Linked DNA regions of Saccharomyces cerevisiae S288C. The gene in region 2 interacts genetically with the main gene of each other region. Each region holds a gene or a part of one and is shown on either strand. Other genes may lie near its edges.

Region 1 (2,617 bases), on a different chromosome or scaffold from region 2:
TTGTTTCCGGATCAAATGAATTTAGCCTTAAAAGAAACTCTTCCCGTATATTTCATTACTTGTCTGAGAAAGAAATACAAAAATTGGCATTTTTTTTCGATTGTAAAGACTATTCTCTCGTAGGTCTGTTGCTTCTCGGCTACACGAAATTCCAGAAGGATGATCTGGTTCAATGCACGGCTTGCTTTCATCGAGCATCCCTGAAGAAGTTAGAATATACAGAATTTAACGGACACGCTCTATGGTGTCGGTATTACAACAAAGAGTTGTTGCCCACAATGTTGCTGGAGTTAATCGGCAAGGAGGACAAACTAATAACGAAATTGGGCGTGGGAGAAAGACTAAATAAATTAGAGGCTGTTCTACAAACTTTATAAATTAGATGTAATACATTATCCAAATTCTCATATGCTTGTATATGCCCCCATGCTGATGCGCAGATTCTGTCACTCTCTCTTTAAATTACGTGCACATATGCATACGCAACAGTCACGTTATATTCATGCAAAAAACCGAAGCAACATCATTATTTCAGTTATTCTCTTCGACAAATTTCTTTACTTTTTCGACAACCTCTTCAATTTCCTTATCTAGCATAAGTACAATTAAACCATCGCTACTAATTTCGTATTTGATATGACCTTCGTTCGGTATACATATTTCGGCATCGAACTTATCAAACCAGGTATTTAATTCGTCCAGTTCGTCAACATTAAATGGAAGTATCAACTCGTCAACAAATTCATGCATTTTTCCCGGCTTACCTTTCAAAAATTTTTCATCTTCTTTATTTATCTTGGTGTCGTCTTCTAGTAAGACGAGCATCCTATAAGTATTACTCTTGGACATTTCGTTTTTCTCTTTCGTCTTAGTGTAGTACGAGATAGAATTCAACCGCAAGGTAGCCTTGCTGTATTGGACAGATCATTCGAATTTGTTCCAAATAGGATGAGATGAGGTCGGCTTTTCTTCATTCTCGCTAGAAAATTTAAAAAAAAAGAAAAAAATAATTACATAAATATATATTTATATGTATATACTGTAGTCCTTCCTTGCATGAAAAGACGACGTTTTTCGTGATAATAAGAAGTTTGACACTAAAAGGGCATCCTTACAATACTTGAAATATGTGGCCTTATATAGGTATCTATCAATCTTGTAAACAGTTATGAGTTAAATGTCTGGAATTAAGATTGTGCCATCAGAATCATTTTTGTCCATCATTCCCAAGGCAGAATCACCATTGAAGGCTATATCTCCAGTGCCCACCTGCTCCATGTATAAGGTATGATTGACTAAATTCAAGTAGGAGTACATGAAGTTACTTAGCAATACTTGTTGTCTTAATTCCCTCCCGGGATCGCTAAGCTTCAGATGGCTGAGTCTGTAAATAGCCCTTTCAACATTAATTCCTAGACGATGGTCAAACATAATCACTGTAGAGTTGGTTATCATTGGTAATGGGAATCCAAAAGCACTGTCTGTGAATTTTATTGGAGCGTTTGAGTAATCTGGTTTAACGACATCTTCAAATGTCAATTTTCTTGGAGGCAAAGTTGAGATTTGAGGGGCAGTAGGTGAAGTGTTGTCTTCTCTCTCTGCTCCTATATCCTCTTCTAGTCCAGCTGTCGTATCTCTACTGATACTAGAGTGCACTTCGACGTCGTAGTTTACATCACCACCACTAATATCAAATGAATCGTCGCCATCTAACTCGCTTATAGTTTCCACCACAAATTCAGAACTGTGGCTAGTATGGCTGTCAGGAAGAAGGGTGGAAGCATTTGAACTTCTCACTTCTGGTTCAATGACGCTTGCTGTATCTATATCTTCGGTGGTAATTGTTTTGGTGGGGGATGAAGGGCGTTCAACTTCCGCTTCTTGGGGCTTTTTCTTGGGACTTTTCCTGAATTTTGATAAACTCGAATGCGAAGCCTTCTTTTTCAGTTCTTTTTTAACACTTTTTTTGATTACTTTCACATCTGATTTGCAGGTACCATTATGTTGTTTTCTTTTGAATAATTTGGCAAGCCTTTTCTCCAAGGAATTTTTCTTATGTGTACTGGCTTGGGTGTCAGTAGGCAGTTCTACCTTTTTCTCCACGACTGCCGGTGCAGTAGGCTTAGATGGCTGGGATTCAGATGAAGAAACGACTGAAGGAGTGATTACCACGGATTTTGCTTCTTCAGAATGTATCTGGAAAATTGGCGAATGTCTATTTTTGGAATGGTTTATTCTTTCAGAGGCACGTTTGGTAGATTTCGCTCTCCTCGATACACTCAAGTTAACAAAGTCAGCTTTTTCATTGTCCACACATTCTTCATCGTCTTCATCATCTGTAAGCTGTTGATAAGTTTGTTCATTAGCGTTCAAACTTCCATTGCTAGAATTCAACCATGACCAGCCATGATTTGCTTCGCTGTTATTGGTATTTGATTTTTCACTCGAGCTAACGTGCTGATCCAATTTTTCAGAAATCATCGAACCAGTGTTATGCGGCTTTATTAAAACGCTGTTGTTAGAACTATCTGTAGATAAAAGACTGCTCTCTTGAGAAATAGATGCATGTGTCAAATCTTCTTCATCCGAATAGTAGTTGGTGCTATCAACGTATTTC
Region 2 (3,415 bases):
TTTACTTGATTACTGTTTCCGTTAATTTGAACTTAATTTTTCTAAAGATGGAATTGAGATATTGGTGAATTTTGAGATAATTGTTGGGATTCCATTGTTAATAACAGTAGTAATATTAGGTATATAGAATATACTAGAAGTTCTCCTCGAGGGTATAGGAATCCTCAAAATAGAATCGATAAACGATAGTTGAATTCTATTCAAGCAGAAATGAATTTCAATCATTCGATAAAGTAGCTTGTATTTTGTGAATCACTTGCCATTCCACCATAAAATACTAGCATAAATGTTAACATGGAAAACCGGATTTCTAGGAAGCAAATAATTGTACTAAAATCACGGATACTAATAATTTCTACTTTACTGTTGCCCTTTTATTTTGTTATATTGTAACAAAATAAATCCGCCTTCTGCCGTGCCGATTTATATTCCTTTCATAAAGTCAGTGAATTATAGTAGTATATAAGATGCATATAATTAGTTATTTAATGCCGTAAAAATGAAAGATGGGGAGTATGTATTATCACCCATTATATCTCCTCAATAATAGAGTTTCCCTTGGGAGATCTGCTTAGGGACTCGTTGTATCTGTCAACTTCCTCATCCTCAACGTCTTCTAATAGGGGTGAAGCGTGTTTTTTTAGTGTATTACCAGACACAGAGAAATCCAAAGTCGTATCAGAATCACTGTTTATACTTTCATTATCACTTTCTGCTGAACCAGAATTGCTATTATTATTTTTATTGCTGGCCTCAATCTCAGAGATAGGCAATGATTTGGAATTTTGCAATTTTTTTTGCTGGGACCTCTTGGTTTTTTGCTTATTTATCAAAGATTCTTTCCTTGCCTTCAATCTGGCTTCCTTCTCTTTCTTTTGCCTTTCTTCATCTTCCTTGGCAGCTTTTTCCTGTTCTGATTTTCTGCTTTCCTCCTGCATCAATCTTTCTTCCTCTATCCATTTTTTTATTTGGTCTTCTTTGGTTAGTGGTTCTTTCGCTTTCTCCGCTTCTTCCTCCTTCAAAGATTCAGACATGTTAACATCATCGTGAGACTCGTCTATTTTGGATTCAATTATTGGCATCTTTGGTTCGTTGATGCCACCTTCGGAAATTTCTTCCTCATGCTTAACTAAACCAATCTTTAAAAGTGCATATTTTTCTCTCGAGCCATCATCTATGTTTTCAACTCCACAGCCAATAACAAAAACATCTTCAAACACTTGGTCTAGAGAGAATTCCTTAAAGATTTTATCCTTCTTACTCAATATGCTCAATTCATCACCTCTATGATTCAATTCTATTTCGTAGTCTTGGAAAAGATCCTTAGCAATTTTCTTTCCTATGGCTCTAAAATCCAGATCTTTCAATGCAGATCTCAATAGAGCATCTTCATCCGCTTCATCTTCAACATAATACTGGTTTCCAAAAAAATCTTGGACAACATGGTAAGTTGGTCTGTAATGGTTCTCCTTTAGCTCACCTAATTTCTCATTAACGTACTTTGAAAAAAGTTCATATGGAATCCGCTTAGACAAGCTTAATGTATAACCATTTGGTGTTTCAGCAAGTGCATACCTCAAAGGTTCTGAACAATTTGCATCGCTTTTTTTTGGAGCTCTTAGGTTAGCTTTTATTGCTTTCCTCCTTTTACATTCTGGATAATAGCTCACTGGAGAACTGCAATCAAAATAACGCGAATGTAGGGGCTGACTAAAAGATGGCAGCTGTTCAAAAACACATGGTGAATTGAATATGGAAAACATTTCTATATTGTAATGGGGTCTATTAGTTATTTTCTTTTGGTTGTTGTTATGATTGTAATACTGATATTTCTTTCAAGAAGAAGAAAATATATATAGAGCAATGAGAATACCTGTCAATGAGAAAAGATTGTTCTAATGCTTTTATATATGTAATGCAATAGATCTTCCATTTGTTTTGCCACTTTACTTCGCCAAGAACTGAAGGCTTCTATGAAATTCTTAATTCTTCCATCCTGGGCGGCTGTTAGCCCAACCCGACCTGGTTCGGAATATCGCCGAACAAGAAAACTGGATACAACTCTCGAGCTCCACCGAGTGTCGCAATTTTCCGGAACTTTCTAGAAAAAAAAGTGTCAGTAACTTTACAACCACAGACGGTGCGAAAGAAAAAAAGAAAAATACGGCTGAAATAGTGCTACATGACGATGCACAGTACATACACTACAGCATGCTAAAATAGCGAAAAACGCCCAAATATTCATTACCCTGTAAAGTAGTCCATAATGAAACATACGCTTCCCCTCCACGTCAAAAAACGGAGTATGCTACGCAGCCACTTTGGCCTTATGTTGTACAGCAAGATACCACAATTGTCACCCACAAGATCATTCTTTTCTGCATCCAAACCTTCCCCTCTTTTTATATATCTTCTTGCCGGGCAGCCCTTCCAAAAATTCCACCATTTAAATCTTTGGCATAAAGAAACCCTTTCCATATTTTTGAATAGTGGACCTTTTGGTCCGTCAATATATTTCCATTGAAATGGGCACCATTTTTGTCTGGGATCCCTAGGTCTTAATTGTTTATCGCCCCAAGCGCCTTTGAACGATAGCCATTCTAGTCCCATTTTAGTTTCTTCAGCGCCGCATGGTGTCATTTTTTCCCCCACAGTCACTGTATAGGCATAATAGTTTAAAGAAGGATCCCATAATGGCCCTCTATCAGTAAAGTCACTCAATGGCATAAAGAAAAACGGAACATCGTGCGCATGTTGACCGACTGATGCATAATGTGCATGTGTGCCTCTTGCACTAAATATTAAAGGCTTCTTAATAACCTCGTTTGTCAATTTACCGTCAACACGACGCAATCTTTTGATTTTCTCAATGGCTTCGAACTTATAGGCACTACCACCCCCATGCGCACTCATCCATAGATATTGTGGTTCTCCTTTATAGAATCGTACTAAAGAATGTTCCCAGTCCCCTACATGATTTCCCCATGGTCCGGAGCCCATAATATAAGGACCCCAATTGAAGGGGTAGAAATAAAACCAGAACGCGTCTACCCAACCATTTCCTTTGTCAACGACAAAAAGAACTGCTGGTGCTTTCTTTATGTGACCTGTACCATATTCTGGTTGTTCACCCAACAACCAGTCAGGGCCCTTATCAAAATCATCTAAACTTGTCATATATGTACCTTCACTGGATACTCGGCCCCACGTTCCGTTCTCTAACTCTACCGAATAATACTCTTGTAAGTCACTTAAGTCACGAAGGTGTTCATTGATAATTTTCTCCCCACTGTGGTCTCTCAACTGGAATCTTTTTACAAAATCCTTAACATCAGCTGGCCAGTACTTTTCTTCACTATATAAATGGAGCAGAGGGCTATTATCGATGACATATTGCGGTACATTGCCCCTTTGT
Region 3 (3,503 bases), on a different chromosome or scaffold from region 2:
ACTATTCTAATGAAGACACAATAAATAACGCATTGAAAAGATTAGGCGTTATATGGCGGATATTTTATCAAGAGGTATATTATGATTTAGCCGCTGTGTTATTACCGTTGGATCAGAGTATCAGAGAAGATGGTAATTCTACGGTTTTAAAGTCAGGCAATGAAAGTCGGACTCACATTAATGGTAATTATTCTATTGGGTTTCTTTTGCTTATGTGCTTTAGAGATTCAATAGTCTTACCTTGTTATGAAAACTTCGTAAATAGTAACGATGGTATCAGCAAAAGTTTTCAACTTTACATTTTCAATCAAGAAGAAGAAAGTAATGTCACAGAAACAGATAAATTGACATTACTGCAGTGTTTTGGCATATTGAGTACCATTCAAAGTAATGATAGAAATCAACGAATTATCGAAGAGTTATTAGCAGGCATTAGAATGAGTATATAGAAAGCATCTAACACTTTATTTCAATCTCCTATTTAATATCACAACAAAACTTTATTCCATCCTACACCAAGGTCTGTCATCGGCAATTTGATGCCTACAAAGTTTGGGTTCTAGCCCCAAACCAAGTAACGCAGCCAAAAAAACGCCAAAGGAATCAGCGATGGACACAGCACCCATGGCGAACTCTGTTTCATCAGGATCCTCTTGTTCGAGAATATTTAAGAATGTGTTAACATATGACGCACCACCAAGAAAACCCTCATAGAATATTAATATCATCACCGCCCAGGGCGAATGTGTGACATAAAACCATGATTGCAGTACCGTTATGCACAAATTCACACCTTGTAAAAACGCTAAGATGTATAAACTCCTCATTCTCATAAGATGTCCAAAGGATCTTGATATAAAGACACCTAATTGGTAGAGCGTTCCATAGGTTACGTATATATCTCTGTATTTATGGAAGAAAAATGGCATCGATTTACTTCTTTCATCACCATTAATCGGAAATAATAGGGTCGGAGCTACCGCTTGGTTTATTAAATATTCGAATAAGTAGACGGTGGTCAATGGAACCATGTATGGAAAAACCAATCTTCGAAGTCTCTTGACCGTTTGCAAAATGTGCTGTCTTGTAGAATACAGGGATTGCGAAGCGTTGGTATGTGTAAAGGCGACAGGAAAGGGCACCAACTGGTCATCCTCTGCTTCGTCAATTTGTTGAAGACTTTGGTAAGTCAGGTTGGTATCATTGGATTCTAATTTAAAATAAAACAAAAATGCAAATGGAAGGAGACTAAATACTAGTAAAGTTAGCTTCACTGGAACTTTAAAGATTGAAGTTAAGAACATATAAGATGCTCCGCCAATGATTCCTGCACCACCAGTACCTGACGACCATCCATTCAAAGAAATTTGTTTGTAATAGTGTGTTAGCTGTAGGAATGTCACTTCTCCAAATCCGGAAGATATAGATGCGAAAGATATTCCTAAAAGACAAACAAACAAGTTTTTAAAAGAAACTAAGAACATTCCTAAGCAACTCATCGTGATCAAAGACCATATTCTATAGCTGTACTTGATTCTATCAATAAAGAATGGGGAACACAATTTAATGGCGAGTGATGGGAATATATCTGCTAGCAATACTAGAGATTTAGGCAAGGTAGGACCCACGATATCAACAGCTGCTGAAAGTATTACCACATAAAGTACATTATTGATCAAACCAAAGAGCCAAAAGTAGCAATATATCTGATGAGATTTGTCACTCATTTATATTTACTTGCGCTATATCTTCATATGTGTTTAAGTACTCTATAAATACACTGTTCAAAACATTACTAAATGTTCATATTGTCTATTTTTCATTAAGGGTTCACTTTTTCTTGTAGTACGCGAAGAAAATATGGAATTATTCTGGAATATTGATGTTTATATTTACCACTTCTGCATAAAAATATACATGCTTTATAAAATCTATATATTGAGAAAAAGGAGTATAAAAAAAAATTTATCTTATAAGTAGTCCTTGAGTAGTTTTAATCTCTCTACGGCATTTTCTAGATAAGCATCATCTTTACAAACTGCAAACCTTAACAAATTCTCAGCAGCCTTTTCGTGCTCTTTGATATAGAATTCAGTTGGTGGAATGGCAACCACACCTAATTCATTGATCAACCAGTGAGAAATGCGAAAATCTTTTCCCTTATTCAGGATCTCCTCTGGGTAGGGATAGTCCTCGGGAATTTTCACTTTAGAGAAATCAACGAGGACAAAATATGTACCCTCTGGAGCTGTATATGGTAGTCCCAATTCATCAAAGATCGATGTGAAAATTTTGAATTTGTTGATATATTCCTGTCTCATTTTTTCAAAATACCCAATTTTTAAAGCGTCGTTAATAGAGTTTGCACAAGCTTCCTGTAGAGGGGATGGAGATGCAAAACAAATTCTTGTATGTGCCTTAGCTGCATAACTTAACAACTCTGCGTTCAAGGATAAGACCCAACCAATTCTCCAACCAGTAGCAGCAAACGATTTACCGGCAGAACCGACCGTTAAGGTTAGTTGCCCAATTTCTGGAGAGAGTGTGGCAATTCTAGTGAAAGAATCAGTGAAGTAAAGGTGTTCATAGACTTCATCAGATATAATCACAACGTTGTGCTTGACGCAAATGTTACCTAAAGTGGTTAATTCCTCGCGCGTGAAAACTTTACCAATTGGGTTGTGAGGGGTATTGATAATGACAGCTTTTGTCTTGGATGTAATCGCTTTTTCGAACTGCTCAAAGTCAATGGTCCATTCTTCACCTCTAGTATTCCTTTGATCCAATTCCTTTGGAGGATTTATGGGGACGTAAACAACTTTACCACCGCAAAGTTCGATATTTGGAATATATTGGTCAAAGAAAGGTTCAAAAACAATAACCTCGTCGCCAGCGTTCAAAAGCCCCATCAAGCAAGAAAGTATACCTTCATTGGCACCTGTTGTTACGGTAACATTTTCCGCTTTCAATTCTGTGTTATAAATAGGAGAATACAACTTAATCAAGGAATTAATTAATGAAGGTCGACCTCTAGTTGGAGAATATTGATTGACCATTGGAATGTCTAGGGCTTTCTGAGCCTCCTTAATGGCGAATTGAGGAGGGGAATATGAAAAAAAGCCTTGGCCTAAATTAATAAGTTCACGGCCTTGGTTTTTGGAGTTATTGGCAGCTTTTGCAGCGGCTTCATTGGTTAGCGACCAAACATCTTTGGCAGTGTTAGAAGTGAAATATTTGTTGGCAACAACTTTCGGTCTCGAAGTAGACATTAGGTTCGTAAATTGACGAATGAATCGTTGTTTCATTGAGAGCAAGTAACAATGGATTCTATACGCAATTATAGTAAATTGAACACTTTATATATATCTCTATCGTACCTTCCCCTTTTAAACATGACTGAATTTTGGTATCTTGATTGTCATAATGACAACAAAAAAGCCACAGTTCTACGTCACGTGCTAGACACGACATGCTACTGAAGAAATTGTTATCAAATGAAAAGA
Region 4 (2,895 bases), on a different chromosome or scaffold from region 2:
GCAAAAGCTAAATCAACATCTTTTCAAATTGAATAGATTGGCAGAGGAATTTAATGTTGCAGTATTTCTGACAAACCAAGTTCAATCAGACCCAGGTGCTTCTGCATTATTTGCCTCGGCAGATGGTAGGAAACCAATTGGAGGGCACGTTCTGGCACATGCGTCAGCAACAAGGATTTTGTTGAGAAAAGGGCGTGGTGACGAAAGAGTTGCCAAGTTACAAGATTCCCCAGATATGCCTGAAAAAGAATGTGTCTACGTAATTGGTGAAAAAGGTATTACCGATTCAAGTGACTAGTTTTTGTATACTTTTTTAATGAAGATGACATTGCTCCTTTATTAAACTTTTCTTTTACTTTGTGTTACTAATATTATTAATATCTTGTTATGATTCTTTGTTTTAGCAGCTCCAAAAGAAAGGAATATTATAATATAATTGTTGTAATTCGGAAAAAAAATATTAAATTACTATGGTGCATATGCGTATATAAAATTGAGCATTACCTAACGCCATATATTACTATCTAAAGTCCTCACAGATGATGTGTTTTCAAAATCAAATGATTGGAGCTCCTCATCATCATCCCCGGTAAACTGCTCGGTTTCAGATCCATTATCCAGATACCTCAACGGGCTAGTGTACGCAATTGAAGGGTACCTATAAAATAAAGTACGTTCCTCTTTCAACTGAAAAAACCCCCGATAATCCCTTGACAAGAAATAATACATAATATAATCTCGCTTTCTGACAAGACTTTTCAGTTCTTGGTACTCTAATTCCCGTTCGAAAACCGGATATGTGCCAGCAATTTCGTCAGTTATTATAGCGTTTATAATAGCCTCGTAGTCATCGGGCTCAATTCTATTTTCGTAGTTGAACAGACGGTAAAAAGGGCTACAGTCATAATTATGCTCGCATTCCTCGAGAATAATATCTGAATCAGATTGTAAATGTATGATATTTCTTGGCGTTACAACAATAGAATCCTCAGGCCCTGATATTTTCTCTATAGATGGGGAATCCGGTATATAGTCAAGGTTGATATCTGTTAATTCATTTGAATTTAGGTTAGCGCGAGCTTCAATTTCGTTAGGCTTCTTGAAATTTGCCTTAACTGGGATTTGCTTTGCCAATTTTTTGTCATCTAGCTTTTTTCTATGATTGAAATTTAGGTCACGAAGCCTTATATGTTCAAGATCCTTGGATTTTGTAGCAGCTTTTTCCTTTATCAAGAAACTGCTTGACTTCTTTTGCGAAAAAGGGTGGGTTTGATTTTCATCTTGATGCAACCTCTCATCGACATCCATTTTGTCACTGTGTCTGAGAATCTATACTTCAGGGCCTGCTACAAGAAGTAGAAACTAAAATACAATGTTACAAATGCGAGAAGGGTTTTTTTTATGATCATGAGTGACCGCAATAAAATCTTTCGAAGCTTTTTCGAATATTTTAACATTTTTTCTCTATAGCTTCTTTGTGGCATCGCCCATGGGATCAAACCATACTGGTTTCTTTGTAAAACAGGCGCAAAATATAGAAACTCAGAAAAAGAGAAAACGAGTAGTGGAAAAATTTATCAGCCATTTATGCGACGCATCCGTTTGACTGATCTACCTATTTAAAACAGAAACCTACGTTGAAAAGTTATTTTTCCAACACATTACTGGATCTCATCAAATTGCCAATGTAATCTTCTAGATAATCATTTTCTTGCTTTAGTTGCTCACACACCTCTTGCTGCTCTAAGGTTTTATTCCACAACAAGTCTAATGTATCCTTCAGAAGTTTGGTTTGGCGCATCATCCTCTCATTTTTTGTTCCAGCTTCTCTTTCGCCAAGATTAACTTCAGAGGATGGCTGCTTGCCCGTCGGCGAGCCAGTACTAATGTTCTCCGCTGACATTGTCCTATTTGTTTGTTTGCTATTATAATTTATCTAGTCAACAACTTCGCAGATCTACAAACTGGTCCTTAAGATGTTTTATTGAAGACATCATTTTTTATTTTTTTAAGCAGAACGTGCTGTGCTCTCCCTTTTGGGCCTTTTTACGATTTTCAAAAAAATTGGTCTCTAGCGGGATCGAACCGCTGATCCCCGCGTTATTAGCACGGTGCCTTAACCAACTGGGCCAAGAGACCTGTAATCTGTGTTAAACCTGCATAAATTATGAAATCATAGCAACGTTTCAAATACTTCAGATGCCCCCATCCCTTCGTGTAGATGATGAAATGAAACTCTAGAATATCATCCATTTAGTAGCATTCTTGCTGCTGGTATAGTATCATATGAGATCTAGGAAGATGAAATGAAGCTTGAGAAAGAGTTAGCAAGTTTAATGGAAGCTGAAATGCAAGAATTGATAATGTAATGGGAAAATGAAGCATATAAAACGATAGGAAAAATAATCGTAATATTATTGTATGCAAATACCGATTAAATTTGAGGATCCCTATACCCTTGAGGAGAAGTTCTAGTATGTTCTGTATACATAGTATTGAAGCCTCTATCAACAATGGAATCCCGATAATTATCACAAAATTCACACAAACCTCAGATAAACGTAACAGTATTAGCATACATAATTATACCCAGGCTTCTCCCACAGTGCGCATGATTCGCTACGAAATCATCAATTTCACATAATATTGAGATTGCATTTGTTTTTGTTTCTTGCGTTGTCACTTTTAATTCTGCTGTATTATCAACTCCTGCACTTAGCTTCTGCAAGATAAAATGACGACTTGAGCATCATTCTCAGATTCAGTTGAAAGTTGCTGACGATTTTCAGGGGTCCCATTTCTAGTAAAACGACATTAGACATATACTAGAAGTTCTCCTCAAAAGATACAGGAATCAATAAAAGAGAATCGGCAATTCTAAATAGCATATTATTA

What was found.
Region 1: mutations in BTN2 (region 2) and YML108W together harm fitness more than expected from each alone (negative genetic interaction), as found in Saccharomyces cerevisiae (one large-scale study listed by BioGRID).
Region 3: mutations in BTN2 (region 2) and YHC3 are lethal when combined (synthetic lethality), as found in Saccharomyces cerevisiae (2 studies listed by BioGRID, with this or other methods).
Region 4: mutations in BTN2 (region 2) and ISC10 together harm fitness more than expected from each alone (negative genetic interaction), as found in Saccharomyces cerevisiae (one large-scale study listed by BioGRID).

What each region holds. Positions count from the first base shown.
Region 1 is NC_001145.3:53,025-55,641, reverse strand, and holds YML108W (uncharacterized protein), read right to left. Parts: upstream 850-2,617; coding exon 532-849; downstream 1-531. Other genes in the region: PML39 (Pml39p), read left to right, coding at 1-377; ZDS2 (Zds2p), read right to left, coding at 1,174-2,617.
Region 2 is NC_001139.9:770,802-774,216, reverse strand, and holds BTN2 (Btn2p), read right to left. Parts: upstream 1,764-3,415; coding exon 531-1,763; downstream 1-530. Other genes in the region: VPS62 (Vps62p), read right to left, coding at 2,245-3,415. UniProt on the Saccharomyces cerevisiae protein: V-SNARE binding protein that facilitates specific protein retrieval from a late endosome to the Golgi. Modulates the rate of arginine uptake. Involved in pH homeostasis. Required for the correct localization of IST2.
Region 3 is NC_001142.9:323,188-326,690, reverse strand, and holds YHC3 (amino acid transporter YHC3), read right to left. Parts: upstream 1,728-3,503; coding exon 501-1,727; downstream 1-500. Other genes in the region: BIT61 (Bit61p), read left to right, coding at 1-449; BNA3 (kynurenine--oxoglutarate transaminase), read right to left, coding at 1,971-3,305. UniProt on the Saccharomyces cerevisiae protein: Plays a role in vacuolar arginine transport. Involved in pH homeostasis. May be involved in ion homeostasis together with IST2. Not necessary for mitochondrial function or ATP synthase degradation.
Region 4 is NC_001137.3:549,220-552,114, forward strand, and holds ISC10 (Isc10p), read right to left. Parts: upstream 1,309-2,895; coding exon 505-1,308; downstream 1-504. Other genes in the region: recombinase DMC1, read left to right, coding at 1-298; SLO1 (Slo1p), read right to left, coding at 1,646-1,903; YER181C (uncharacterized protein), read right to left, coding at 2,254-2,577. UniProt on the Saccharomyces cerevisiae protein: Indispensable for spore formation.